4 linked regions of the Oreochromis niloticus genome follow. The protein of the gene in region 1 interacts with the protein of each later gene in a pairwise test. Links are inferred from orthologs where the notes say so. Each region holds a gene or a part of one and is shown on either strand. Other genes may lie near its edges.

Region 1 (7,476 bases):
TTATAAAAACATAAACTCAACAAAGACTGAGGCACTGCTGCTGTGATCTCTTTCTTTGCTCGCGGTTTTATTTTGCAGATTGGTTTAGACTGGGGCAGAGACATGAGCTAATTGTATCCTGATCTTTGCCTTGAGGGGTTTCGGAGCCCTGGAGCAAGTATTCTGTATTTTGTTCTGTCTACCTTAGCCAAGCTATTGCATTTCTCACTGGTGTAGGAAGAGAGGCAGATCGTGGGCCAAATCGGACGGAAAAGGTGCCCAAAAAGATACTTTATGCCGCTCTATGTTTCAGGTAAGCGAAGATTTATTTGGTTTGATTTTATTCCCGAGGTTGGATGGACTGGGACATAGAGGCGCAGCAGCTTTTACGCATGTGCCAAGCGATTCGAGCGGTACAGTTCTTAAAAAATATTTAACCACTTCCTGGCTATTGTCCCTTACTTACTGTACAAATGTATGCGCGTGACTACAATGTAGGACGTTCTGGTGCATCCAATCTAAACGAACAGCGGGCTCAGACTGTGATCTTGTCGAGCAAAGACTCTACTTATCCACCGTGTGAATTCGCTCCTGGCGCGTTTCAGCTCGGAAAACATCGCCGTCTCCGTGTCTGCTGCTGCTGTGCAACTTGCTCGTAACTTACTTAAACCCGCGTTTGTCGTTTTCGTAAAGGTTTTTCGAAGTGAGTTTTGTCGTGAAACACTTCCATTTCCTGGCTGCCCTAGATCTTCTAATGAAAGACGCCATTGTGGAGTAATTTTGCCGCGGGCGTATTTCTTATTCTGTATGACAGGATGTACCTTTTTACACACGTCAGTGCGGAATCTGTGAATCATCCGTTAATGCAAGCCATGTCCGCGTTATGAGATTCACATTTATGCAAAAGACGAAAATAGGAGCGAATTTAGTCTTTAGTCTCCTCGCTTTAAGACCGCGCCGTGCGTAATCAACTCCAAGGTCCGGATGCGAATCGGCACAGATGTACTTACTCAGTAGTAGTAACAGTATCGACTTATTTCGCCTGTAGGACTATACTTTGTAAACAGACATGTACTCCGTTTAAAGTGTGTACTTTCTACAGTATTGAATGTGGCATCCTAAAATATAAAGATTTTTTTAAAAAAAATAAAAATAAAATAAAACATTGCGTTTGATTACTAAACATCTACCACTGGACCCCAGGGAGAATACTCAAATCCAGCTCTGGTCACCTGTAATGAAGCCCTTAGCCAGTTTCACGAGTTCCAGGGGGTGAATGAATAAAAAGAATGGGACTGAGATGTTTGGTTGTCAAGACCGATCACCTGATGGCGCTGTTAAAAAATAAAATAAAAAAAAAGGAAAAGGGGAAAAAAAGAACTGTATATAGTGCTTCGGTTCATCTGTTTCACAGTGACAGTAGATTTACAAACAGAGCTCTGAGCTGAAAGAAGACACTTAACAAAACAAGCCAGAATCGCATTAGTGAAACTACAGGATCGGTCTGAACTTCATCTTTGCTTGCTCGATTGGAACGCTAGGAGAGAAATGCTGTTATTGTATTTTTGTAGTGGCTCTGCCACTCCTATGCCCTGGGATAGTTTGCTCTGTGCCAGTGAACATGCACTACAGTCTCTAACAGCCTGCGGCAACACAGCACTGATCACACTTCCTTATCCGTGATGTCATGCTGATGTACAGCTCCAGTAACTCCACAAAGAATCATTTTCAAGTAGATAAGTAAGTCTGAGAAAACTGAGGGAGTAATTGTGTGTTCCTGGTTGATAAATAAGTAAGCACTACTATGGCTTGTTTTATAGTTAACAGCTGTGTATGAAATTCTTGATCGTGTGGAGAATCAAAGCTTATCCGGACCACCGTGCTGTACTGGAAATGATTATTTTTATGCATGTTACAGCCAAAAATTGAAAAGGTGACTACACATGAACTCAACAAGATGCTTTAAAGTACAGGTTTGCGTAGTGTGTTCAAATGTGGTGATGTGTTTGTGTTTGTGTGGGCAACCTCTTCATTCTTTCATTAAATGCCTTAGTACTTTTTCATACTAAACACATTTCCACAGGTCATCCAAAACATACCAAATAATCCCTTTACTGTTAAGTGTAAGACGTGGAGTCAGTTTGGAGACAAAGACAAAGATGTGAATGCAAAAACAATAATGACAATGACAAAAGTTTTATTGAAATGCAGTATTTTAGCTTTGCTGCAGCATGCAGTTACTTTATATTTACAAAGTATACAAAGTCCAGTGGGATATGTATTTGATCTAGCTTACAGTTTTTACCCAAACCATGCTGTTATAACAGTTCATCATTACCTTTTTCATATATATTTTATATATACAGCTAGCGGCAACTGATGTTAACCCAGAGTTTGTAGCTGTCTGTGTATGGACATTTCAAACAAATGGCCACAGGCAACAAAGCTGAGACAACCCATCCAGATTATGTAAATACCAGTCTGCCTGCCTTGAACTGAATGTTAATGCTCTGATCTGAAATGCTAATTGTATCTTGTGAGATATGTCGAAACAGTGAAGAGTTGCATTCTGGGATGGCCAACTTAAAGTTAGTCTGTTACATATGCTGAACCCCAGAAGGCCCCTCAATTATGACAACAGCAGACAGATCCTTGCTTTCCATGTTTTTGGATTAATTATTAGTGGAAAACATACCCTGCTATTTCTTAAACATTCAACCCCAGCTACTGTATGGTGTTTGTTCCTTAAAGTTTGAAGAAAGATGGTCTTGCATTAAAGGCCTGAAAGAAAACTGGTGAAAAACAACAGAAACAAAAGGGAGTAGCTCGACTGCTCCGGGCTTTGATGCTCTGCGCCTGTTTTAGATTTGTTTGTGCATGCTGTGGTGCAACAAAATTACACGAGCTGGATAAACGAACAGATTCCCTAAACACATACGTTTTGACTTCTTTCGCAAACATCCTAACATGCATGGGAGACTTCTGTACCTCTGTGCCAAATTCAAAATGGCAACAGGTAGGAAAAGCGCTCGTGTGGCACATCTCAGGATTCGTACTTGTGGATTCTGAGGACGCTGTGACCTTTGAACCGATTTTGAGCTACAACAAATTTGACGTAGACGCGGGTCCGACGAAAGGTTCACGACACGTCTGTATTTCCAGCAACTCGGGATGATTTTGTGATATGAGAGCTCATTCCCTCAACTGGCTCCCTCCAGCTCCCAACCCTCCACTTCCCACCCACCCAACCACCCGTTCTCTTTCACTCTCTCTTCTTTCTCCCCTGCAATTTTCCATAATGCCTCACAGATTTTACACTCAATCCACCTTTGCAATGACAAGGCTTTGAGGAAATCCAATTCCACCAAGCTGTTTTCAGAACTTACTCTCCACAGGCACACACTTTCTCTCACTCACTCGCTCTCTCACACACACACACACACACACCACCATCTCCACAAATTAGTCAGGGAACAAATTACCTGCATTCTGAGTGTGATCCCACGCACTTTGCCGGCTGCCTTACACAGGTCCCCTTTTGAAGAGCAGCCATGTGATTTCTCTCTCTTTTGCCCCGCAGGCCCCTTTGCCTTCTGCGAGGGATTCTGGAGTTGAATTTTAAAACTATGTATGGCTGCTGCCTGCGCTTATCAGCGCGTGCACAAGTGGCATGCAAATCAGACCAGGATCACACACCGCATTGGAGGCCTACACTCAAAGGCAAGCTTAATTGCTAATTGGGTATCTAGGTGTGAAACTCACACTGCCAATGAGAAACAGGAATGTGGATGTTTTAAGGCCAGTGGTTGAACTAATTAATTTTAATCTGAATGTTATTAAAAATTGTGGATTCCCTACATTTCTTCTGCGGGAAAAAAAAACAACCCAGGAGAGTGCTGTGGCAGTACTTTTAACCGCAATTGGACATGTTGTGGTCTGGTTTTATACTCCACGATATCATTAGTGTGGTAGCTTTGCAATGCTGATGTGGTCACTGGAGGTGGTGTTAACACCACACCGCACCGCAGCTCTAACACTTGTCAGACACAGAGCCAGGGAGAAACAGATGAAGAAGTTTTATAGCTGCTGTCTGCGTCTGCTCTGAGGGTCATACCGTTGACTTGAAGGGGTGTTAGCTGGTACTTCACATGCAGTGTTTCTTTGCTGACCTCAAGGACGTTTGAGTTATTGATAACATCTTGCAGCCTGTAAATAGTGAAGAGTCTTTTCCGTTAAAACATCATATTCAGAATGCATTTGGTCATCTAAAAAATAAAAGAGTGATGTTCCTGACTGCTTTTGGGTGACTGGAAAGCTCACAATCAATCAGGTGCTTATGGCTGGTAAGTGTGTGTATGGGTGGGGGAAGGTTTTTTTTTTTTTTGAATGGGCTATTGCAGGGGTATTTTTTTTCTTTTTTTGTCCATGTGATTGAGAAGGTTGGCCACTGTTTCGGATTTGTCACAGACTCAACTTTGTTCGACTGATGTGTTGGAAGGCTGAACAAAAACTGCTGCTGAACAATGGGCAGCAACGTGTAGGGTGGGGGGGAAGTGGTCGCGCGTGGAAACACTGCTCCGAAAAGGGGGGCAAAGGCCAGCTGTTCAAGGTCCAGATGTGGCGTGTTAACCCAAATCGCATTATAAGCAGACGATCGCATTTTGCAGGCTAAGGCAGGATTTGTTTCATTCCGCGAAAATGCGACACACATACCTGCCACTGAAACAGCGACAGCCCAAAAGAGCCGCGGGCACTACAATGCTAATGTTGTCGGGGGCTTTGACTTCTCCCAGCCACTGCAAAGAAGCCGCTCCGTGTGACAGCAACGGCTTTCGCTCTCACCCCCGGTGCTCGCTATTTTTTTTCACGCCTCTTCATTTTTGGCAGGTGTGTTGGAGAGGGTGAAAAAAAAAAGCCTCACCGCTTTCTCCTATCTCTTTAACCCTAAACGTCTGAGCCGTAATGGACGAAACGGATATCATGGACTTAACGCATCAGAAGGCGAGAAAGCGACCGCGTCCAATCAGTTCCGTGGATGAGTCCGTGCACGCTTCCCTCAAACGGCTCCCGATCCGAGCGGCGGAGTGCAGGGAGAGCTCGCTGATGTTCGCTGTCAGAGGAGAGCCCGTTCCCGCAGCATCTCTGAAGCAAAATGACCATTCGGTGACTTCCTCTCCAACCACAGTGATGCCGGCGCAGGTAAACGCGTAAAAGTGTCGTGTTGTCTGGGGAGGGGGAGAGCGATTTAACTTTCGACTTTATGGGGCGAAGTGCCGGACACTTTGTTTTTTGGTTGTTTTGTGTTTTTTTTAATTTACCGAATCAAACAAATCATCTCCTCGATGCCCTCAACCGTAGACTGCGCACATAGTGTCAGACAGTCCTTCTTGTGCAATTTACTGTTAAATGTATGTCTTGAGTTCACGTTTTTTTTTAATTTGTTTTTTAAAGAAGATGTGTCTAATGTCCTGCCCACTCCTTAGTGATCAGGACACTTTCGAGATTTTCTCCAGTCTTCTCAAACTTTTTCGGGTATAAAGTCATTTTTCATCTCAGAGCTTAACAGAAATCGTCTCCTAATGGTGTTTGTAGGTTATCATGAGACGTTATTCTCCAAATCCTATTATAGTATTCAAATCAGGAATCATTATTGCTCATTTTCATGACTGAGATTGATGCTCCAAATTAATTTGGTTTTGGAGATTATGGCCCACAGGAGTGGATGCTTGTGGATTGTGGCAACATTCAGGTCAAGGTCGGGCTGCTCTATCTTGCACAGAAAAGGGTAACAAGAAAAAAAACCCACCCTTCCTCTCCACTCCTGACTGCAGAATATATTAGACTAAAGAAATGCACAGATTGTTGTCTCTTATTAGCCTTTCTTTCTTTTTTCTTTCCTAATATACTAATTTTGTCCATCCTCCCCAGACTTGTTTTAATTGTCTGTTTCATTTGCAGCAGAAGATTGCAATCTAATGTGTCTTCCTACATGCATTTCCTTTGTGCTCCCTCAGGATAATCGCTCCAGCATGTCCAGGCCCATGATCACACGGTCACCGGTGTCTCCCTTGAGTAACCAGGGCATCCCAACACCTGCTCAGCTCACCAAGTCCAATGCTCCTGTGCACATCGATGTAGGTGGGCACATGTACACCAGCAGTCTGGCCACCTTAACAAAATTTCCAGAATCTCGGTGAGTTTGCCCTGCCATACAGATGTATTTTAAGTGGAGGGGGAAGGTTAAGATCCAGGGTCAGGGATAACCATTTGTGGCAGGATTTTTGCATGTATTGTGTGTTTTACCAGGGATGTTTTCTGCTGGAGCCTGATGGTTTTTGTCAGAATTTCCTCGCAGTTTGTTGTTTATTGGTTATTGTTGTAACGTGATGGTCAGATGTCACATTTTGTAAAACTCTGCTATTTTAAAGGGGTAAACAATTTGTGAGCGCTTTAAGTGCAGAATGCAGAGTGCAGACAAAGGCAACTTGGTTATTCTGACAGATGTCACAGCAGCAGTAAAGAGCCAAAGGGCATGGAGCCATCTGGAGGCTGGGAGGCCACACTGTCGCTCCGAGCACAGGCCCGGGGGTGACTGCCTCCCTGCCTCAGGCGACCAAGCACCAGCTGGTCTTGACCTCTCCGGACCACCTTTCTTTCTTTCTTTAAGATAGATTTAGTGAGATCAAGTTTAGGCTTTAAAAATTGTTACAAGCTTTTGTTTGTGAGTGTAAAAAAACAACAACAACAAAAAAAAACAAAGGATAGAATTCTTAATCCTGATATGTTGTTCTCCTTCTTCCTTCCTTACCTCCCTTTCTGCCTAAATCACCACCCCTCCTCTCTCTCTCTTACGGGCAGAATTGGTCGTCTCTTTGATGGCACAGAGCCTATAGTCCTGGACAGCCTGAAGCAGCACTACTTCATTGACAGGGATGGACACATGTTCCGCTACATCCTCAACTTCCTCAGGACGTCCAAGCTCCTCATCCCCGACGACTTCAAAGTAAGTCGATGCCCATCCTAGAAACTGTAAATTCCCATCAGCCAGTCAGCAGTCCTACAACTTAACACACACAATGAATGCTAAGGCCGTGGAACGCCTTTGGTCACTGGTCCTCCCTGAGTTACTGAAAATGGTTCACATGCTGGAGAGAAAATATCAGGGCTCTACCAAACAAACCCCAATTGCAAAGCATTTCCTCATCAAGAGATGCAGTTTGATCCCTTCTAGCTACGAGCTGGCAAAGATTCTTTTGCAATACATAAGTAAAACAGTAGGCTCGTACTGAAACAATTATACTGACACCCATGGCCATACGATATGCTTTTTTTCTGCAGCTCTCTATGTTCTTGTGCCAAGTGTCCATCCAAGGTGCCTGTCACTGTATGTGGCACATAAGAACCCCCACCCCCCCTCAAATGTTTAAGCAATAATTACTGAACTTGCCCTGGGAGAAAACAAATAACCACATTATCAGATGGACTGTCCACTGTGCA
Region 2 (7,546 bases), on another chromosome or scaffold:
ATTAAATTATTAAACTTAAATTATTGACCAAAGAAGTCAATACATGCACTTTGTCACTTTGTATAAAATATAAAAAGTGTTTAAAATTTCACAAATTGTAATGTCCAGAAGAAATTTATGAAGAGATAAAATGGATATTGAGTAGAAATGAGTTAAACCTATTGATGCAGCCCTTAACAACAGGCCAAGTTTCTCATGTGGCCCCCTGGGAAACTTAATTGCACAAGGGGCCACATGAGAAACAGGTAGCACTAGGAGCTACATGCGACTCCTGCGGATAAGAACATCTCCCAACATACGCAAGATATTCCAGAGAAAGGAAAGACAACGCAACTAATGGGAGGCCCTTCCTTTCTCTGGAAATCCGTTCTGTTCAGTCAAGTCAAATCACAACAGCTGCCTTATGGAACTTTACATTGTAAAGTAAAAATACTACAATAATAGTGAGAAAACCACAACAATCAGACGACCACCTATGATCAAACATGTGGTGCGAGTGGGAAGGAAAAATTACATTTTAACAGAAAGAAATCTCCAGAAGCAACAGGCTCAGGGAGGGGCAGCCATCTGCCGTGACCGGGTGGAGGTGAGGGGATGGAGACAGGACAAAAGAGACACCGTCAATCAAGATATATAATTCCTGTTTGTGCTGTTTGTCATTGTGCTGGGAATTTTTGAACTCTTAAAACAATTTCTCACTGGGATCATTGCATTTCTTCTAACTTACAATCAAAGATTATCTTATGTTTGGTTATTCCAACAGATTGATGATGTCTTCCATTGGGTGTAGTTATTTTTTCTCAAGAATTTTTCAGTGGAGAAGTTGAGCCTGACATCCATAAATAGCATCTATACAACATGGCACAATAGCAGGGATATTCTCAGTGCTGTTACATGTGTCTACATGCAGACATTTCATGCTTCTGCACACCTTTTTTTTTCATGCAGGCATATTCAGTGGACACACCCATGCCTGAGGAGCATTGGCTCACTCTGGATCATTCCTAATCTCTGAAGTGATAAGTTCACTTTGTCACAACAGTCCTGTGGGACTGCTGCTCTTTCCTCACAACAAAATCATTCACGACAGCTAATTGACTGAACCTTGACTACATATTGTTGACGTTTAATTATTGACTACACCGGCCATCTAGTATCCAAAGAGAATGAGAAAGGTGGGGCTGTCAGGCTCAAGGCTTTCAGTTTGGACTACAAAGTAAAAAAAAATGTTTACATGGTAAATACAACACTCAGGGTAGTCTTTATTTTCATCTTTGAACTATAGTTATGCCAGTTGTTGGTTGTCGAGGCCTTATGCAACTGAGTGCAAAGAGTGCTGTTTATTTAACATAGCCTGTGCCTTCTTTCATACAGATTGCACATTTTCTTTAACTACCATTGTTTATTCACTGTCAGGTTTCTCTCCTGTGATCTAAAAGGACTTGATGAATTAATAAAGAGACAAGGCCATGCCAAGGCAGCTTCTTTTCTTAACAAATGATTGTGAAGAATAAGCCATTAATAAGGTACTTTCTGTATCAACATTCTCATTGTCCACACTGAGCTAGCTTGTTGCTATGTACAAATCCACTCCTCATTTTTAGTCACAGACATCAAACCATATTTGTATCGACCAAACAAAACACACCCTCAGAGTAAAAGTCAAAGCCTGAGAAATCAGACAAAGTATGAGTGTCTGCAACGCAAGGTTTAGTTCATGCTGCAACATAATGATCTGTCTGTCAAATCAAAGCACCGTGTTACTGTAATTGACAAGGAAGACACCTGTTACAGGTGTAGTTTCAAGACCGTGAAGATAATAAACTGATCTGTGACTCGTGTTAGGGGAAAACTCACTCAGAGAGTGGAAACAATAAGTTGCTCATCAACAAATGGGTTAGTCATCATATCATAAAAATATTTAAATAGTACCAGATAACCTGCTGACAGGTCAACAATCAAGGACTCTAAGCGTAACATAGCACAAGGCAGGCTGGACTCAGGCACAAAAGTTATGTGTTGTAGAGCATAGACCAAACATAGGCAGTTGTGTTCAGACATGTCCATGAAACAGAAAAATTCCAACAAGCCATTTTTTCTCTTCATGCAAACATCTGTTTTGCAATCACACACCGATAAACAATGGAAAAAAACAGCAACAATCAGCCAGCTATCTATCAAGTATTTAACTGCACACCAAATGTAACACAGCATAATATTTTTGATGTCTTCAGCACATTTTGTTCCTTTTAGAATAAACACGGGATGTGCAAATCAAATATTAGTATAATTTCTGCCCTTTTACTAATCTCTGCATTAGGCTCGTGTGTATGTTTGTCTATCCTGGCCTGTCTCTGAGTTCATAGCAATCTGAACATTGAGTCTGAGCCAGACCTGACACCTCAATCTGGGAAAACAGCTGAAGCCAGATGTGAAACCCCATGAAGCGTCACTTGTATCTGAATGGCTGAGTGGGTCAGAACAGACTGTACTTAACACCGGCGCACATAGAGAGAATAGAGAAAATCGACATACGCTACACTCGCATGTAAACTCAAACATACAAATTTAATGCAAATTTTTCCATGCAAACACTGGAGCAGCAATAACTGCTGGCACGATGTTCTGTGTATTTTAGTGAAGCAGTTAAGATAAATAACAGACACGCTTCGAATAAAATGTAAAATAGGAAACTATACTTACATGGCTTCATAAACAACATTCACTTTCGGCAGTGCAGTTCACCTGAACAGGTAAAGCCTGGCAGGCAGTGTAACTTTAAACCATTCAGAGAGGAGGTGGAGGGGAAGGACAGGAGAGTTAAATGACTCCGTAAAGAGGACTTTGTCCAACTCAAGCAAACCGGAGACCGACTGACAGTCTTCAAGTAGAAAGAGAGAAATTTTATCCTGCTGCTGGACTTTATAAAATATGGAATGAGTCCAAAGCGGAGAGGATTTCTCCTGTGTGAGCCCAGAACCTGCTCACCTCTAAACAGGCAAAGGTGATCAGGAAGTGGGCAGAGAATAGAGGCGTGGTTAGAGAAAAGGTAAATAAGAGAACTGCCCAAACCTGTATTGGGAGTTCAGCAGAAGCTGGATTTTCTTCTAAAACAGTGTGGGCAGAGGAACCGAAACCTTGAACTTTTGTTAAAGGCAACTGAAACATTTCAAAAGTGACTAGTGCTAACAACAAAAATATTTTTAATTAACTAAAATGTCATGCAAAATGCCACCAGTGCCTTAAACTACAAGTTCAGACAGGACCTTTCTATAACATGGCAAAGATTTAATAACCCACTAAGCATTTTAAACACCTACATGATTGATTTTCTGCAGACCACTTACTGAAACAGAAACACTGTGCTCTGTAGTTTAGCAGAAAGCCCATAATCTGAGTAAATGACAACATGTCTCAGGTTTTTATAATGTTGCCAGGTACTGTAGAGTAAGCATTTAAACCTTTCTACAAGACAGAAATTGGAATATTTGCTAGCTGTATATGACTTTCTTTCTTATAATTATCTAAGCTTTCCTTTAGAAAAGCTGCTTTTAAATCCACGCGTGTGATTCCAGCTTTGCGCAAAACAGTTGTTATCCTTTGTGTTTTCACGTGTGGCTTCCTTCTTTGCTTTTCCTACCTCAGGCTGCTCTTTAAACACAGATACTGTGAGCCACAGGTGCTCCAGACTCACTGCAGACATGAAGTGACAATTCTTTATGAGTCACTCAGTGACGCAGGCAGAGCTGAATCATTTACCTTGTTTATTAAGAATATTCTCAAACAGTACTCGCTTGTAACATATTATTATGCAGTACCTGTCAGGGTTTTTTTTCCCCTCATCTGAAGCTTATTTTGAGTGCATGAAGGGAACAAACAGATGGGTTACTTAAAAGAAAATAAATGACTGAAGTGTAGCAAAACAGTTGCAGTTGGGTCAACCAACCAGGAGTAAATCTATTTAACGATTTTAAGATTGTGATAAGTAAAGTTCAATCTTTTCTCATGTTCACAATATCAGCAGCATTTGTTTAGTCCATTTTTACCTCCAAGTGCAATTTATTTCAGTTGCAGTTCACATGGAGCTCACAATCCTGCAAATGTGTTGTTGTTGTTGTTGTTGACATGAACTTAAATGTTCTTGGATTTGGAGATATAAATTTGCCACTCTTATATTTTCACAATCACTGTAAAATTAGAGGATGAGTAATAGTTTCTGAACTAAATGAGTGCAGTCTTCTCTTCTCTTCTCTTCTCTTCTCAGCAGGACTCCAGCAAACAGTATGATATGGCAGGATGTACTAAGAGTCAGGAATGCTCATGAAATTCGCCTTATGCTAAATTATACAGTGTGTATTGCTGCAGTGAATCAAAGATTTTAAGTTTCTTGAACTCTTAAGTTCTCTTTGAAGTGCTGAGTTGAACCTGCATCCTGTTTCATTTCTGCTGATTCCTCAGCTCCCTGCTGCTGGAGCTTATCTAAACACTGTAGTGCAGGTGAAACCAATCTCCACCTTCTTCCTAGCAAACTTCCCTGCCTTTCTCTTATTTCTCCATCTCTCAGAAACACACACACCAAACAGTTTTACTGTTTTCTCCATTTCTTCACAGCTTAACTGTTTCACATTCCTCTGACATATTTCCTCTAAGTACCGTGCAATGATTTGAATTCAGATGGCAGATGCGAATGGAGAAAAAAAAACAACACACAAAAAAAAACTTGGGTGACAAAAAGACAGGGACTATTTCTCTTTTAACTCAGTATTTGAAACAGCCTTTATTAAGTTCTTTTTTTATCCAGTCTCGTGTGGCAGTGAAAGGTCGGTCGTCTCTCTTTTCTTTCCACAGAGCATCCATATTTCATGGTATCAATGCAAATGCCTTGCCTACCATGAATATTGAACACGGGAAAGAACAGAATGAAAGTAATCAAATAGATGCAACTGAGCCAGCTCCAACATCACCAAGGAGATGGCATCCTTCTTGTCTTTCTATTGTGGTTATTCAACGCAGACGTTGTAGGAGTGCAGGTGTGAGTCAATGGCGTTGCAAGGATTTTGGTGTCATGAGCATACTACTGGGTATCAAGCCAAGAAAAAAGAGCCTGTGTGGCTTTTTAAGGTCATGCTTTTTGCCTGTTCCAAAAAAACAAACACTTAACATTTACACTAAAGCACCAACTCAATATATTTTAAGTTTATATTTATATTACAATAAAGATGTTACCTTTAGATATTACTGCAATTGGTATCTTCTGTTATTCTGTGGCCAAAATACCATTTTTGTTGTAGCAATATGAGACATGCAGGCTTTGGCTGGACAAAATAGGGGGAAGAACTGCAAACCTCTCAAGAAAAACAAATCAAAGTTCAAGTCAACTTCACTGTCAGTTCTGCAATATGCACAGGGCATACACAGGATCGAAACGAGCAACGATGTGCAATTAAAATAAATATAAAAGATGTAGATATAATAAATAAAAAAGGTAGAGAGCTATGAGATTATAATATGCAGTTATGAAAGAAAAATGGTATCTAGTATAAATATAAACCGTACAAGATATATTAAAACCCATCTGCTGTTACTACTATATATAAAAACACGAGGGACATTTTTAATACAAAGTTTTAAGCACAAATAAAATTCAAAATCAGAAGTCAAATCAAAGTCCAACTAAAATCTCAGTGACATCCCTGTAGCTACTGCAAAAACAAGGTGAAGTCATGTGAAATGGATTTACACTTCCCGGTGAAACTGCAGGACGACTTCCCAGCTGCATTCACGAATACAGATTTGTTTACGGGTGTGGTCAGGTTGTGAATTGTGATTTGGCAAGTAAGCGAAACCTCAGATCTGGTACAGCAGGAAAAAATGACTCACCAAACCTCCCAAATATACTGTGAGCTCCACTAAACTTCTTTGGGAATGTCCTATGTGATAAGCTAACCAGGGATCATTTGTTAGCTGCATTTGCTAGTATATAAATATAAAATGGCAAATGATACTACAGCTCATTATTAGCCCAAATTCTTATGGCTGGGACTCCTGACATAGTAGTGAGCTTCTATTACAGCTTGACTTGCATTATGTTAATTTGTTCCATTGCTGTAAATGTGCCACAATACTTAATAAAAAATGCTAAAGTAGCATTTCCATGTTATGGAATTTCCCTCTAATTAGATTAATTAGAGACTTTATTACTCATCACGAGTTCAAACTTCCTTTGTTTGTGTCATATGGTGTTGCTATTTTTAGGTTTAGTTCCTTAGACATGTTTACCTTAATTGGCTTTGTAACACTGAGAGGAATGAATACTTTTAGATGCTATACTCCCTCAGGGCTTTAGGCAACAAAAGCTGTAGGCTATATTTAGAAAAAGTTCATGATTTGGGTTGAAAAATTAATCCTTTCAAATCATTAAGCACACCTTACAAAGCTAGTCTGGCAGAGAGTGTCATAGAAAAATTTGTGTTTGTCGTGTTCTTTAACGAAAAACACTTGCAGCGATGCAGGCACGCACACACATTCAAATGTTGCAGAAAAAAAGGAAAGTGTCACTGTTCATGCAATTCCAATTTGCCATCTACCTGATGGTTTACCCTCAGACTGCTTCTGTGCCCGCTGTTTTGCTCTCTTCTGTATGTCTACTCATTTTATTCAGTCTCAGAAAAATAGTGCTGCCATTGTGTTTTTCACTCATGAATTCATTTTCTGAGGCAAATGCTTTCAATTTCACCACGTAATCTTCAACCACCTAATTCAAGGTGGCATCTGAAATACGCAAGTGTTCCTGTCTGATATTGTTTCTCTCATCTTTCACTCACAGCGGTATTAGGTTGTGACTTTTCACTGCTCCTGTACTCAAACATACCTACAAACAAATGCCCGTTAACATATACTTGTTTTAACATGTCACACATCAGAGAGGAGTCTGTTATAGTCGCTGCCTTGACACTGCTGGTTCCCTGCCACCTTTCTAAATCCCACCCACCTCTGGCACACTTCAGTCTTGAGCTGAGAAATCTGAAAGGATGGGTTTTGGAGCGTTTTCATCTAAGTGTTTCACTTCTCTTTTATTACTGCTACACTCGTTTGCACAAAAAGGCACGCTGATAAAGTAGGGCAGTCGATTTTAATTTTCCCAACCCTGATGATATAATATGGGGAAATAATGACGTATTCAATAAGTCATTCGTTTTGTGTCAAAAGAGGCTCGTTTTTACACAGGAAAAGGAAACTTGCACAACTGCGGTTGCAGATCATGCATGTGTATGTGTGCATTTCTGACAGCTGCTCTATAAAAAGTGATCGCTGATGTGAATATCATCATTCAAGTGCAAAGGACAGATACTGCAGATTGTTATGCTATTTGTCAAATGTCACAGTAAGAGTCAGCCAGGCATTTGTACATGTGGGACAGTCAGGGAGGGTGCTAAGCAGAATACAGAATCAGAACACAAGGAAAGAGAGAGAGAGGAGAAAGAAAATGAGATATGAAATGAGCGGTATGTCTGCTTCAGTTTTCAGAATCACATCGGTGGTCTGA
Region 3 (7,107 bases), on another chromosome or scaffold:
TGTTGGTGTGTGAGACTGTAGCCTAAAGTTTTATTGTTAACTGGTATTTATCAGTGCATTTTACAGAGTAAAAAGTAATGTAACAAGTAGTGTGAAAAATTACCAAACATACTCCTTTATTTTTAAGAAAAATAATAAGTAATATGTAATACATTATGTTTTTGAGTAATGTCTCCAACACTCCATTTAAACAATACAGCTGAAGACTGCTTTAATAAATGAATTCAAATCAAATAACTTTTAGCAACAACTAGCCTTTGAAGTAAAGATGAAAAAATGAAATAAGAGTTGCAAGTTTACAGGACGTGTGTATACTGTTGGCTTGTAACAGCTCATCCTGTACTGTGACACCAGTCATGCCTGTGATAAACACATTTATTTTTAGTTCCTGTTTGAGTCTTTTACAAACTAATCATGCCAGAAATTTCATTTTCAAGGGCAACAAGGATACATACTGAAAAATAAAGACCACAGTTCAGTTTTATATAAATACTAACTACAACGAACATGCCAGTTAAACATCTCTAGTGCTTTACGTGATGCTGATGTGCACGTAGTTTTGCTCATAATAACAACACAGGACAGTTACACCATGTCATAATTTATTTATGCAATGTGTGAAAAACTGAAAGTGAAACTGTAGTGGAGATATCAAAGATGGGCACGGCTGTGGCACTGATTCAGTCTTTGAGCACTACGGTCACTCCGGTGTGTCGGCCAGAACACCACTTAAGGCCAAATTGTCCCAGAGTAGGAAAGAAGAAGGGAGCTTGAGGTTCTGTTTGAGGCACTTTATTGTCACCACTCAATTTCTGGGGCTGTAAACACAGCGGGTGTACATAGGTGTGTGTGTGTGTGTGTGTGTGTGTGTGGTTTTCTACAAAGGAAATAAACAAGGGAAATAACGATAAATAAAGAGAATAGACAAGTAAAACACTCAAATACAGACATAATACAATATAGTTAACATAATCAAATATAAAGATCAGAAAAAATATAGTACACTTCAAACTGCTCACACTATGCAACTAAACAGCATTAGTGCGAGGTTAAGTTACCGTGGGGACATAGGAACTACTTCCGGTAGTTGTACAAAATAAAAGCTTCCCTATTATAATCAGCCGTAATGCTCTTGTTGTGAAGGGCAAGCGGGAACGCGATCCTTCCGGTCAAACTACGATCGCTATTTTATTAATCCTTGTACCTAATTGTTCGCTACAGACTCCGCTACTTTAAAGTAAACAATCACAAGCATCACATACAACATACAGAGAAGGTCTGATACCACAGGAATGACATTATGGACATACGAGCGACCGTGCATGCGTCAACAAAGCTAAACCGGGGTAAGCTAACAACATAAATTAGCATATGAAATGAGGGTGAACTCACGCGTTGCATGCGTGGCCTACCGCTCCAACTATGGACTACATTAGCTCCTAAATGGTAACATACTACAGTACTGACACAAGCAAAGGCAAAATACAACACAGGTCAATACTTACTTGTCATTTACGCACACATAACATTCCCCAGGAATCAGTGCACCCCCTCCGGACCAACACTGCTCATCCGACATTAAACTGCCCACCTTACTAACCGGATGATGTCACTAGACGGTGGGCTGGCCCAAATTGGAGAGGGTTGAAAATTAAATGAACTTATATAAACTTATAAACACCAATAAAACTATTCTGTGAACTTTGGGGCCTTTTATACAGAAACTTTCCAACATTGCTTCAGATCACTGACGTTTGCAGGCTTGTGTTTATGCAGAGCTCTTTTAAAGTCCCATCACAGCGTTTCAGTCAAGCCAAGGTCTGGACTTTTACAACACCATGATCATCCATTCTGTTCACTATTCACCTGACCAATAATGACACCTCCCCCTGTTTGAAATAACACAGTACGACCAATGAGGGTTCCCCTGTGCCATCCCCAGCATCTAGGGTGATCATTCTTCCCAGTTCCCACATAGACCCACTCTTTTATCATTATTTCTATTCCTATTGTTAAGAATAATACTAATTATTATTGCTATTATTATTCATATAGTCAAATAATGCACATTCACATGACCAGACAGTTTGTTCATACACAAGCTACATACACAAATGTCTAATAACTTGGTTGAACAAGAACAAACAAATTATTTCTGGTGTAATATTTGAGATACAAGACATGGGCTACTGGAAACATCCATATCTGCAATAATTAAACATCAGAATCTTAAATAAATAAATAAATAAGCACAGATTACTGAAATATTGTCAGGCTCTGGGCATGCTTGTTTTTCTGTCTTCTGCTGCAGGTGGGGCAAGTAACCACGCCCAGGTGACGCAAGTAACCATGCCCTGAGTGGGGCGGGTAACTGCGCCCTGGGTGGAGCCAGACCTCCAGCTGGCTCTTTGCATACATTGTGATCATCAGCTGTATATTTACCTCCAACTGTGCCTGAGAATCTCTGCCAGTTTTGCCCAGCCACTGCAGTGTTAGTTGTTCTGGTTTCCAGTGAACTGACTTGCAACACTCACCACCTGATTCAGTCCCACTTTGGATTCCAGCCTCTGGGGGTGTTGGCTTTTTGGAGGGTTATGCACAAGTGCATTACTATTGCATCCACATTTCTATAATTCACATAATCTTTATTTTTGCATAAGAAAAAAAAACATTCAAACAGATAACAAAAAGAATTATAAATTGTCCTTCAGTCTCATAATAAGGTGGAAAGAAAGAAATCAGTCAGCTGATTCTGGGTCTGAATAATCAGCTGGTCTGAATCTGCTTTACATGACTCTAATATAACTTTGGGTTTTACCTGGTTTTGATCTCTGCTTCCTGTAATGTTTAGTCTTAATTTAGATCAGCAAGCAAAATTTCTTATATTAATACGTTTTTCTAATGACTTGCTTAAACAAGTTTACACAGCAATAAACAAATATTTTTGGTTTAATATTTGAATATCAAAAGAAAAACCAGTAATGTACAAAAATATTGGGATGAGAAGTTTTTTTTATCAGATGTTTGTTTTATTGTAAAATTGAAATTCATTTTATATTTGCAAATCTGTCCACATGTAGCGTGTTCAGAATATTTCTACTTACAGGACAGTTAGAAACAAACGCCTACTGTGTGTGTGTGTGTGTGTGTGTGTGTGTGTGTGTGTGTGTGTGTGTCTGTCTGTCTGTCTGTCTCTATAATGGAACATGTCTCTAACATGAACACTGAAGGTCACTAACATAGACTAATAACATGTACTGTGTGTCAGGTTATTTCCACATGCACGCGGCTTGTTACCAAATTTTCACGACTTCTGGCCCCAGAATCGGCCAGCAAAGATTCCAATATGGCCCCTGCATGGCTTTGAAAAATATGAAGGCAGGCATGTAATTTTGGGCTTTTAACTGGTTTTGTTTATAAGTTTTAACAGCTTTTCCTGCTGATACAGAGCTCCTCCACAGCCATTACATATTACACAGTCGTTACATTAATTCTTTATAATTAATAGATAAAGAATTAAAGGAAAGGTTCTGTTTTTCACTGTCTACTATAGAAATGTTAGTTTTTAAATTTCATCAATCAACAATTTTTTTCCATATTTATAAAACAATAAACAACAACGTTTTTCTGTATTTTGACACATTTATCATGTAGAAAAATTGATACATGTGTTTGAAACTGCACTTCTTCAGCTTACGTTGAGATCAGGGATTGAGGGGTTTGCTCAGTTAGGACCAAAGTGGGCTCGATGTTCCTGAACCAGATGATCAGGACAAACAAACAAACACTGCCAGTTAGCCACCGGGCTTTAACTTGTCCTGTGAGGCCTGCGGGTGCATACCATGTTGATATCTCCTGTTATGAAAACATTCTCACATGGCAACAGTATGTGTCCCATTTCCTGACATCATCAAAAACAATTTTGTTACATTTGTGAAAACTTAAAGATCTGGGAACAATATTTCCCACATCGTTATTATTTCCCCAATACTTTATTAGTTTTCATCATAAAGAGTTTTTTATGTCATGCAAAAGTAGGACATTACCCTCTACTCGACGCTTTCTGTTTCAGCATTCGGGCTAATGAAAAGGGCTACAGGAGTGACACTGACTGGTACTATTAAGCTACATTATCACTACTCTGTAGCTCCTGGCATCTCCACCCAACGCCTTTTCTATTCAAAGTTGGCATCAGAGGAATTATTTGAGGTAAGAGATGAAGACAAATATTACCATTAGGATGTTTTATGGCGTATGTCGACTCAGTTTTCCCCCTCGCTCGCTCTCCCTTTTCTCCATCTGTGCCACTCACTTTCTCTCTGTCTGTCTCCCAACGGGGATGAAAAGGCAAGGAGAGAGAAAGGAGGAATAGAAAACTGAGTGAGCGCTGTCAATAGCAGTGAGTTCACTGCTAATCTGGCTACACTACAAAGGTTAGCAGATCTGACTGTCAATAGTGTCTTGTGGGGAGGAGGGAGGAGACACGGAGGTGAGGTGGTGTAGGGAGGGGTGGTCGCTTTGAGAGAAAGAGATACTTTGATATTTCGGAATGTTAGAAGGGTGAATGTGGAGAACTGGAGGTTGGGGATCTAATTACCGGGCCATAATTGGGGGCTGGGGAATAGGTTGCCGTCCTCTCAACTCGCTGCAGATCAATTATGTTAAGAGAACATCTGTAAGTAGAGCTTAATGAGGTCCATTAGAGCAACATGCGCTGCCTTCCCTAACGGTGCTTGTCAGCTTCTTGGATGAGCTGGAGTGTGCTGCCGACTGGGGACCTTGTGGAGGGGCTTAAATAGGAGAGGAGGCTCGACTGTGCGCTGCTTTTCCCTGTCAGAGAAACAGAGAGACACAAGCAGGGAAGGAGAAGGGGGAAAGGGATGCTCTGTGAGAGAGCTGCAGGAGTCACAGAGCAGCAAGGGGAGCAGAGTTTAGGGTCAAAGCTCAACTATTAACAGTTATCAAACCATAAAACTTTGGCGGCAAAGTTTTCTTTAGAAAAGCGGGAGCTGGCCGAGCTCTCAGAAAGTTACCTTCTGGAGATTTTCATTCAAAGTCAAGAGAACACAGAAGACACGAACCACGGCAGTATTTGTTTTGGGCGTCCCTGGCTGTAGCTCCTTCAAGGTATGTGTTATAAGTGCTCTGCTTTTCTTGGTTCTAAGTTAAAGCTTAGCCACAGCGAGGGCTGCGTGTAAAGTGCTGGTTGAGCTCCCAGGGAAGAGATCGGATGGAAATGTAGCAGATTTGCTTCCTCCTGAAATGTCATTTATGCAAGGCTGTTCAGAGCGTGTCTGGTTTTGGTGCACGTTCGTCTTCATTACAGGCTGATGGTTGGGGTCATAGCATATAACAGAAGTCCCCTCTCTCCGGTTTTGCGTTTGGCAGGAGTACTGTATGGTGCATGAGAAGACCGGGCTAGCCGCGCGATGCTCGCCGCTCCCCCGCTCTCCACATACACTCCTGCTTTCTGTCTTCATCTTATATTCATACGGAGAATGAATAATTGGCTGAACACAGCAAGTGAAAGGAGGGTGGAAGGGCACCAGGAGAGGGGTGGAAGCCTCACACACACTGCACACACACTGCAGCAGATTGCATGATTACCGAGATAGGCCTCCTTGAAATAATTCAATCCATGACAAAACCTAATTACTGGCAGGTAATACCCTGTCAGCTTTAATGCATCTCATCACTCATAATGGCGCGGAGAGCATTTTATGACCCAACTCATTATTGCTGCATTTTTGGCTGGAGTCACATGCCAACTATTGACTTGTGTCTCCTCCTTCTGTGCCTTCCACACTTTCATTTGTCTATCATCATATTTATACGATGTATCTGTGTGTGTGATAGGGAGCAGTGGTGCGGTGGGGAGGAAGGTTTGGGGTAACCATACCGTGACACTCGGGCCTCCTCGCTGCCTCGTCTCATCTAAACTAGGTCGCTAATTGATGCACGACTTGACGCGAAAACCTGGTGAATGTATTTTTCCTTTAATACAAGAATGATTAAAAGCAACTATGGAGAGATGATAATCCGAGTTGTTGATGTTAACCCAGCTGGAGACCTCCCTTTGCCATTAAAGAAAGAACTGGCACAGGCTGGTGTCATCACAGAGCCATTATATGCACTGGGATGTTTGCATTTTCTCACACTAGTCTTTTACCAAACAAAAGTGCAAGCAGTAGACAGTACTTTCTTTTTCTTTCTTTTTTTTGGCTTAAGCTCGGACTGATCTTTTTAAATGTTAATAATTAGAACCCTGTGCAGATGTAACACTGTAGGACAAACCACGACTCTGGCCAAATACCTGAAATAAACAATGCAAGGAGTTACATCTGTGACTCTCTGAGAGCTGCTCATCTCAATATTAGTATCAGTGTTAGAAGTAAACTGCTCTACCTACACGTGGACTATTGCATTTGCTTCTGTGTCTATAATGTAGGCCCCAGGAACCATCTACACGCACCCGTGGCTCCAAAATCAAAGAAAGTGGGCGTGTACGGGAGGCATCCTTTAGCCAAACAGCTGCTAATAACTGAATGATCATATCGTGTCACTGCTGAGAAGACTGGAGGTGGGACAATAATAAGAGAAACTTCATTCTCTGACAGACCCGAGCACTCCCTGCAGCTTCCACCTGTAGCTAGCTGCTGACACACCAAGCAGTCGCTCTTGGAAGTCTTTGTTTCCAAGCTCCAGGTCAATGTGGCGACCAGCGCTGCCAGTTGCTCTGCAGAGGCAATCTGTAGTTGCTTGAAATCTCTGCTTTAGTTTAGGCTTCGGTTTAAACTTGCTGAGAGAGGTGAGTGATCAGAAAAATGAGCCTTACTGAAAACAAAGGTGACAGAAATAGTGTCGAGTTGCATGAAAACAAGGCTTCATACGTGTAAGAGTTTGGGAAGAGCGCGCTTACTGCTCGGTGAGTGAGCCGCTGTGCGTAACCTCTGCTCTGCCTGCTGATGAGCCAAGCAGCATGCAGCAGGAGCCGCTGTGATGAGGTTGCCAGTGTCGTGGAGGGGAAGCATCTCTTTGTCGTTCTGTCATTCGCTGCCTGCCTCTCTCTGCGCACCGATAAACGTGCTCTCACACACTGTGCGACGC
Region 4 (7,234 bases), on another chromosome or scaffold:
TTAGTGTCTATATCTTCAGCACTGCAGCCACTCACCGAGACAGAAATAAAGCTTACCAATGCCTTTGACACAGTGCATGACAATGTCCAGCTCTTGTCCCGGTCGTAGTTGAGCTATCAGAATGTCATCATGCACAGGCCCAATACAGCAGTCTGCAAACACATCTGCCTGGTTCCCAATGGGGACCCACTTTATGTCCTTGGAATAAACTATGAGCAGACAAAAGTGGACAGAGCAGATATCTGCAATTAGACAGGAATACTTTTTTTTACTAAGATATCTGCATCATTTTGTGACACCTAAAAATACCCACCCATGTGGTTCAAGTACAGCTCTCGTGGGTCTGATGAGTCTTTGCTTGCTCTGGGATTCCTGCTGCACTTTATCTTCAGCTGCAGTTGAATTGTGTCTATTTCTGAACCCTCTTCCTCTGCAGACTCCTCCCCTAAAAAAAACAAAGCAGCATTTTACACATGTTGCTTAACATGCTGCACATCATCACTGTTAGATCAAGTGCAGAAAACACTGGAAGCTTTGCAGCTCATGAAATTATAAAAGTGATTATTTAGTTTTTCACCCACAGCACAAACCTGCGGACAGACGACTGACTCCACATTCACGTGGAGTCACATGTTTGTTCCCTACTAAGCACAGCTACAGGACGAGCTGTGTTCTAAAGGGCAAAAAAGTACTAATGCTCATAACGCCTGACGAGGTAACTAGAACATGGCATAAGTAGGAAGCAGGCATGACCTCTCCATCTTTGGGTCGTATCTGTTTCAGATGCTCAGTAAAACTGAGGTCAGGCTCACTGTCAAGTTTCTCGTGTCTTTCTGTAGAGTTTCTGCAGCACAGCAGGGAAACTGTCTTTATTCTTAGAATTATGACTAAGCAAGATGTTATCTAAACTGGCACTTTGTCACATGACAAGAAGATGACACAGAGAGATAAAATGAGCATTGGTGTCAACTGCCTTATGGGTGAGTGGTTCAATATGATGTTTTACCAGTGTTTCTGTACTCAAACAGACGAGGGTCAGCTTTGATGGGGATGAGGCCTAATCTGTGGGCCAGGACTTCATCTTGGACAATGGAGGTATTACTATAGATGAACACCTTTTCCATAGCCATAGTAGGCACCTAAAAAAAACAAAAATAATTAACAGCTTTCAAAATATATTTGTATAAAACGAATAAACTAAATGCCTAAATTCACAAAATGTACACGTTCTTCATGAACGAAAGTCCCTCACATACCGAAAGTTCAAGAGCAGGTCTGAAACCGTAGCAACACAACAAAACAAGCTCACCTCTGCCAGTAAGATCCTTCTGAAAGCATTGGCAATGGCTGCATCAATCCCCACCATGTCAAACTCCATACTGTTTTCATCCAGATGCACGACATCGATTCTGAAGTTCTGCAAAGAAACAGGAGAGTTCCATTTCTATTTACAATCACACACATTTGTTAAAAGCACAAGCGAAGCATTGGTCTTTTATTCAGCACATTAGTCACTCTAGTCTGTACACATCTTTGTCCAAATACATATTCAATACTTTTTACTGGTGGACAGACAAATGTAAGGAAAAGGCTGGTGACTAACGTAACCCTAACAGTTCTGCTGGCCTCGAATCAGGTCAAGAGTGATGCTTAGAGTATTTATGACCATGTGGTGTGTTAAAATCAGTACTTTAGTTAAATCCTTTAAATGAATACTGAACGTCTGCACTTCAGTCACATCTTGATTACTTGATTAAAAATGAAATGTGGTGGTATGCATGGGTGAAATTACAAATCTGTTGCTGTGCAAACATTTATACACATTTTAGACAATTATGGACCAAACCGTCCAGTAAGAAGAGCAGATCCCTGTAAAGACTCCAAATAAGCCGGATCAGCATCCCAATAAAGGCTTGTGCATCATTCCCAATAGCGCACAAAAGTCATGTGAGATTTACAGAAGAAAACTGATGACATTCGTCCTCCCAGCGTTTACAGGCCCACCGCAGTGACAACGTTTTACCTTTTGAAATTTCTCCACGTTCCAAGTGTCGTCATATCCGGGGTAGTTTCCTGGGAAATCCGTAGTATGAACCTAAGAGCAACAGATAAATAGTGGCTAAAAGAAATAAAAGACAACAACAGCACACAGGTCCACAAGTATGATCCGGCAGGTGATACTACAAGTGAATAAGCAACGCAGAAACACATTATACTTTCAGCTCCATGAATGATTGCTGTATATTATAATAGGTGCTCATTAAGTAATATTAATGCAGTCCGTGTCAAACACGCGTATCAGTTAAAGCGTGTCAGTCAGAGCCTCACTACCCCACAGAGGACATACTGTGCCTCTCCAAATCCACGATCACAGCCGCACTTACATTCGTCACACCAAATTCTCCCAATATTACTCGATTCCGAATTTCTTCCACGTTCTTCATGCTGGCTGCCATTTTGCCGAGTGGGCGGGGAGTGTTTGGCTCCGCCCACACCTCCTTTACGGTACAGTTGTGGTTCTCTGCTCTCCATCAGCAGCTGTATGAATCAGGGGGTTTCTCTTATACGCACGCGGAGAAATTTGGCTCAAAATACAGTAGACATGATCAAAATTGCAGCATCGGGTATTTTTCACAGTATGCTCATACTGCACAGTGTTCGTGGACTTTGCGCCAGTAAAAACTGCAGTCTTTCGTCAGTAGCACTCGGAGGCACTGTGTGGTTATCGGTTATCAATAAGCAGCTCTTTGTGGCTGGTATGGTGGTGATAGACGCAAAGGCCAACATCAAGCACTCAGCCTACGAAAAAGAACTCGGTGGGATAAACTGTGCATTGAGTAAAAGTCACTCGTTTAAAATGATCTGGTTTCAAGTTGTGATTTTCGCTAATTTCAGCGTTTTGGGGGGCAGGGGCCGATAGGCGATAACGTTTCTAAAGGGCCCACGAGTGACAGGGGCCTAGCAGAACAGTCAAGTAGTTTCTTTTGTTTTTCAAAAACCTGTCACCGTAAAATAATGTTTGTTTCACAAGGTACTTATAAACAGTGTTGGGGAGTAACGGAATACATGTACCGCCGTTACGTATTTAGAATACAAAATATGAGTAACTGTATTCCGTTACAGTTACCGTTTAAAAAGGTGGTATTCAGAATACAGTTACTTTGTTGAAATAAATGGATTACACGGCGGTACTTCCCTGTTTCATATTCTCGCGGGTCAGGATTGTTTGGGTTTGTTTGACAGCTACGTAATGTTGTTCCAGGCGGCAGCGTTACGGTTGCCATGGTTACAGGGTGACGCGCTCTCTCTCTGCGTGTTTCCTGGGTGAGAGAGCGCTTTTTTGTTGTTGTTGTTGTGCTAAGCTAAAAGGCAGAATGCTACAGGCATGGCCCTAAAGAATGTAGCCTCATGGGCAGTGTAGTCCGTGCTGCAGGGAGAATGGACTGCCATACACGTTATGTGTCTGTGAGCGAGGGAGGGAGAGAAAGGAAAAGTCCGAGCTGTCACGGAGCAAAAACGGGAGCTGGAAGCATGTAAATATAATAATAACCACTGCAGCCAAGAAGAGTGCCTGACGAGCCCATTTGTAAGTAAGCTATTAAGACTCGACTGTACACTGTGTTCGTGTTTTCCTCCGGAAAAAATAAGTTCCGTTGGAGCCTTTCAACTCCTCTCTCTGTCTCTGGCAAGCAAAGTTGACCCAGACAACAAAGTAAAGCTAGTTTTCGGCTACCAGCCCGACACGGAACCCGACGTATTAGCCCGAGGTCCCTTTACTACTGTTCGGAGCCGCGGACCTTCAGTAACAGTAATAAATCACAGCAATAGTACATTCACGTAGTTGTAAACAGCACGATAATATATTAAGTAATCCAAAGTATTCAGAATACGTTACTCTCATTGAGTAACGTAACGGAATACGTTACGGAATACATTTTGGGGCATGTATTCAGTATTCTGTAATGGAATACATTTTAAAAGTAACCTTCCCAACACTGCTTATAAACGTGTTTGTTTCCTAGCATTAGTCTTGTTTTTGGCAACAAAGGATAAAATCCAGCCAGGCTCTGGCCTCGTCTCCCCCATCCTTATTTCATGATTTGGTTTGGTCCAGGTGCACAAGCTCCTAGCTGACGCTGAAGGGGATGGTTGTTTTTGTTAATTTATTCAACATGTGATTGGTGCAGGCAGACACTTTGTAAATAAATATTCTAAAAATCACTTCATCTGACGACCTGCTGCCAGGACAAACAGATCAGACTTGTGGCTCAGCTGTCCGGCTCTCCTTATAGTCCTGATACTGAAACAGCGCCACTGAAATCTGAAGAAGCAGGTGAGCTTTTTGTGTTAAAAAATGTGTCAAATTAATACATTTTAGTTGGCTGTACTGTGTTAAATAATAATATATATACATTGTTTAATTATCATTAACGACATGAAAATGTTAATAAAATGCCTTTCAATCAACCAATCAATGCTCCAGAAAATAGTGTCACTATTTCATGTCTGACAGAGTATTGGGGCGCATTAAGTTTAACAAAAAAATTTGTTCGTTTTCAGATTAAAGTCGAAATTTTGAGATTAAACTTAAAGTACTATTTTGAGAAAAAAGTTGAAATGTGGAGACTGCAGTTGTCATTTTAGGCCAAACAACTGCCACAGCTTCTATACCCTATAGAAAATGCCATGCATAGATGAGTTAGGGAAACAACTTCAACCATCGTTACCCCTGCGTCTGTCCAATGCCAGGTATTTCATTTTGCACACAGTCATGTGTTCCTCCTTCTGACCAGATGCAGTTTTCTGCACAATCTTTTCAAAGCTCTTACAAGGAAATTATTTCCTTCTAACTAAAAAACAATTCTGAAGTACGATCACGAACTCATGTAAACAAAGTGTTTTCTAGAGGGCCTTAATATCCACATTTCAACTTTATTCTCAAAATATTATTTTGAATTTAATCTAGAAATTTTTAACTTATTCTCAAAACGTTCAATAATATTTTTTTTCTTAATGTGGCCCTAATATTCCTTTGTATCCCTCAGACCTCAGTGCTCAAACAGCAGGAAGGCCTGAAGTTTATTAATACCATGTAATGTCTTTATGTTTCCCAAAGAGCATCCATAACAAATAATAAATAATGTAGATTTATAATGCAATGCTTTCTCTGTTAGCAGCAAACATTATTCCAATATTTTTATTGTTCTATAAGCTTTCATATCGGATCCTGAAACAGGACATCTGCTATCTACTTGCACAACTTTATATCAAATTTGCACTGAGTTTGAATTGTGTTTTTATATGTAATCTTTTCTCTTGTGCCATAAACAGCAGAGTCTGTAAATAAAGACATAAAAACTAAAACTGTCAGGAGCAGGTTATGTTTCGGTTTAGTTTGCCTGCGAGTGCTGCGTGTGTTATAGATTCTCTGCTGGGGGAGTTTTATATGTGCAGCTTGTTAATCAGTCACATTTATTTTACTTTGATCTGTGACAAACTGAAGCGATTTCCACATCTCCTTTGTCAGGCTGTGGGACTGTAAGGTTTAATATTTAAATTAATTAAAATCCTTATTGTGTGCACTAAATCACCAGATGAATTAAATTATTTTTCATGGCATTTATCTCATCCTTTTTACAAAAGTGTTGCATTTTATTGGTATATGTTTTTGATCTTCAGAGATGTTTTTAATCACAATTTGATAACATCTCTGAGTATGATGAGTCGTATGATGTGAACCCGCAGGGGAAACCCTGGGTTAACTTGATGAGTTGATAACTTTCACTCACTATGTGTTTTACAGGATTTAATCGTGAGTTGTTATTATTATATTAAGATATGGGGAACTTCAGGCATTTTTCATTTTCATTGTTGTAACACTCTTAATAAAAGGTAGGGACAGATAGGACAACAGCTAAAACTAGAATAGATGAAAACATTTTGACAATTTTAATGACCAATAAAAATGCAGCATTAAAGAGATGAAACATGTTTAAGTTTTAGCAGTTTCCCAGAGAACTGTCATGGAGTCTGTTAACTCCAAAAGAATGAATGTTATTTAGAAGTTGGTCGGAGTACTGTTTGTGCAAAACTGGCAGTGAAAAGAGAATTATGTGTTCACTAAGCTAAAAACCAATTTAATTAACAGTAATAGTGCACAGAAGCATATTATGGACCATTGATGAATGATATCTGCATCTACCGAGAGATAAAAAGAATATGTCCCTGAGTAATATTTCACTAAGAAATGATGGAACAAAGATTTGTTGTTATTTTTGTTTTATTACTTTTTTTTTTTAACATTTTCTTTTTCATAGTGATCTTTAATCATTATCAGTCTTTCATAATCTTTACAATTTTTGAATAAGGATCACTTTATGAAAAGTTTTTCCATTCAATTTGGTACAGAGGTTTGTCTTATAAGAATGCAGTATCATCCAGACATTTGAGGTTGACGCTATGAGCAGCCCTTCTGGCTACTAAGCACAGTGTTCAGGTCCTGTCCATCTGTCAGGTGCTCAGTTAATCAACAGCTGCAGAGCTGCAACTGCAGCAAGCCGGAGATTGGAGGTAGCCCATCATCCTTCTCTTTCTGTGACAGCCAGCATTCCTGACTTCCCGGGAGGGGTTGGGGTTTTGCTGTGAGAGCTTGGCCGCACGGTTTGCTGTCTCCTTGATCTGCAGCTCAAGGTGTTTCTGGATGGCGAGACCCAGCTCCTCAGGGTCCACGGACGCCCCATACACTTCCCATGTCATCCCTTCTGCATCCCACTTCACTTCCTTGACTGGGGACTTAGGCGCACCACCTGCTTTTTTGTCTCTGTCGCTGTCAGTCTGGCTAGAAGACATCTTACTCTTGTTAGCTTCTGCCAGATAGATCTGAGGGAACACATGAGAACCGGTGGTCTGATTTGTCTGCACCCCGATATCTCTCAGAACTTTTTGGGCTGTCATAGTTCCCATGTCACGTGTTGTGATTCTTTCTTGGCCAGTTGTCGTACTGCACCAGTCATCTTTACCTAAGTTTTTTTGGGAGCATTGTGGGCCAGCATCAGGCGGCAGTGAACTAATCCAGGAGCAGCTCAGATTGCAGCAGTGCAGCAGATGTTTGGCATCTAACCCTGTCTCACTAACAGAGGAGAAGAGGCGAGGCAGTGTAAGGTGGTTTCCTGTTGAAGGAGGTGGTACTGGAGGCTGGATACTGGAGCCTGCCAGACGTGGCAGCATCTGCGAG

The links.
Region 2: the proteins of kctd1 (region 1) and lnx1 interact in binary tests that used the Homo sapiens proteins (3 or more experiments, as listed by UniProt). The link is inferred for Oreochromis niloticus from reciprocal best matches to the Homo sapiens genes KCTD1 and LNX1.
Region 3: the proteins of kctd1 (region 1) and lmo3 interact in binary tests that used the Homo sapiens proteins (3 or more experiments, as listed by UniProt). The two-hybrid records come from large-scale screens. The link is inferred for Oreochromis niloticus from reciprocal best matches to the Homo sapiens genes KCTD1 and LMO3.
Region 4: the proteins of kctd1 (region 1) and polr1c interact in binary tests that used the Homo sapiens proteins (3 or more experiments, as listed by UniProt). The two-hybrid records come from large-scale screens. The link is inferred for Oreochromis niloticus from reciprocal best matches to the Homo sapiens genes KCTD1 and POLR1C.

What each region holds. Positions count from the first base shown.
Region 1 is NC_031982.2:17,124,066-17,131,541, reverse strand, and holds the start of kctd1 (BTB/POZ domain-containing protein KCTD1), read left to right. Parts: upstream 1-4,468; 5' UTR 4,469-4,941; coding exon 4,942-5,178; intron 5,179-5,993; coding exon 5,994-6,172; intron 6,173-6,837; coding exon 6,838-6,982; intron 6,983-7,476. UniProt on the Homo sapiens protein: May repress the transcriptional activity of AP-2 family members, including TFAP2A, TFAP2B and TFAP2C to various extent.
Region 2 is NC_031986.2:37,504,777-37,512,322, forward strand, and holds the start of lnx1 (E3 ubiquitin-protein ligase LNX), read right to left. Parts: upstream 3,003-7,546; 5' UTR 2,704-3,002; intron 1-2,703.
Region 3 is NC_031981.2:699,211-706,317, reverse strand, and holds the start of lmo3 (LIM domain only protein 3), read left to right. Parts: upstream 1-4,102; 5' UTR 4,103-5,127; intron 5,128-6,063; exon of another isoform or gene 6,064-6,808; intron 6,809-7,107.
Region 4 is NC_031978.2:30,581,796-30,589,029, reverse strand, and holds the start of polr1c (DNA-directed RNA polymerases I and III subunit RPAC1), read right to left. Parts: upstream 3,013-7,234; 5' UTR 2,457-3,012; coding exon 2,385-2,456; intron 2,096-2,384; coding exon 2,024-2,095; intron 2,003-2,023; exon of another isoform or gene 1,847-2,002; intron 1,418-1,846; coding exon 1,310-1,417; intron 1,140-1,309; coding exon 1,007-1,139; intron 446-1,006; coding exon 314-445; intron 210-313; coding exon 57-209; intron 1-56. Other genes in the region: si:dkey-191g9.7 (G protein-regulated inducer of neurite outgrowth 2), read right to left, coding at 6,523-7,234. UniProt on the Homo sapiens protein: DNA-dependent RNA polymerase catalyzes the transcription of DNA into RNA using the four ribonucleoside triphosphates as substrates.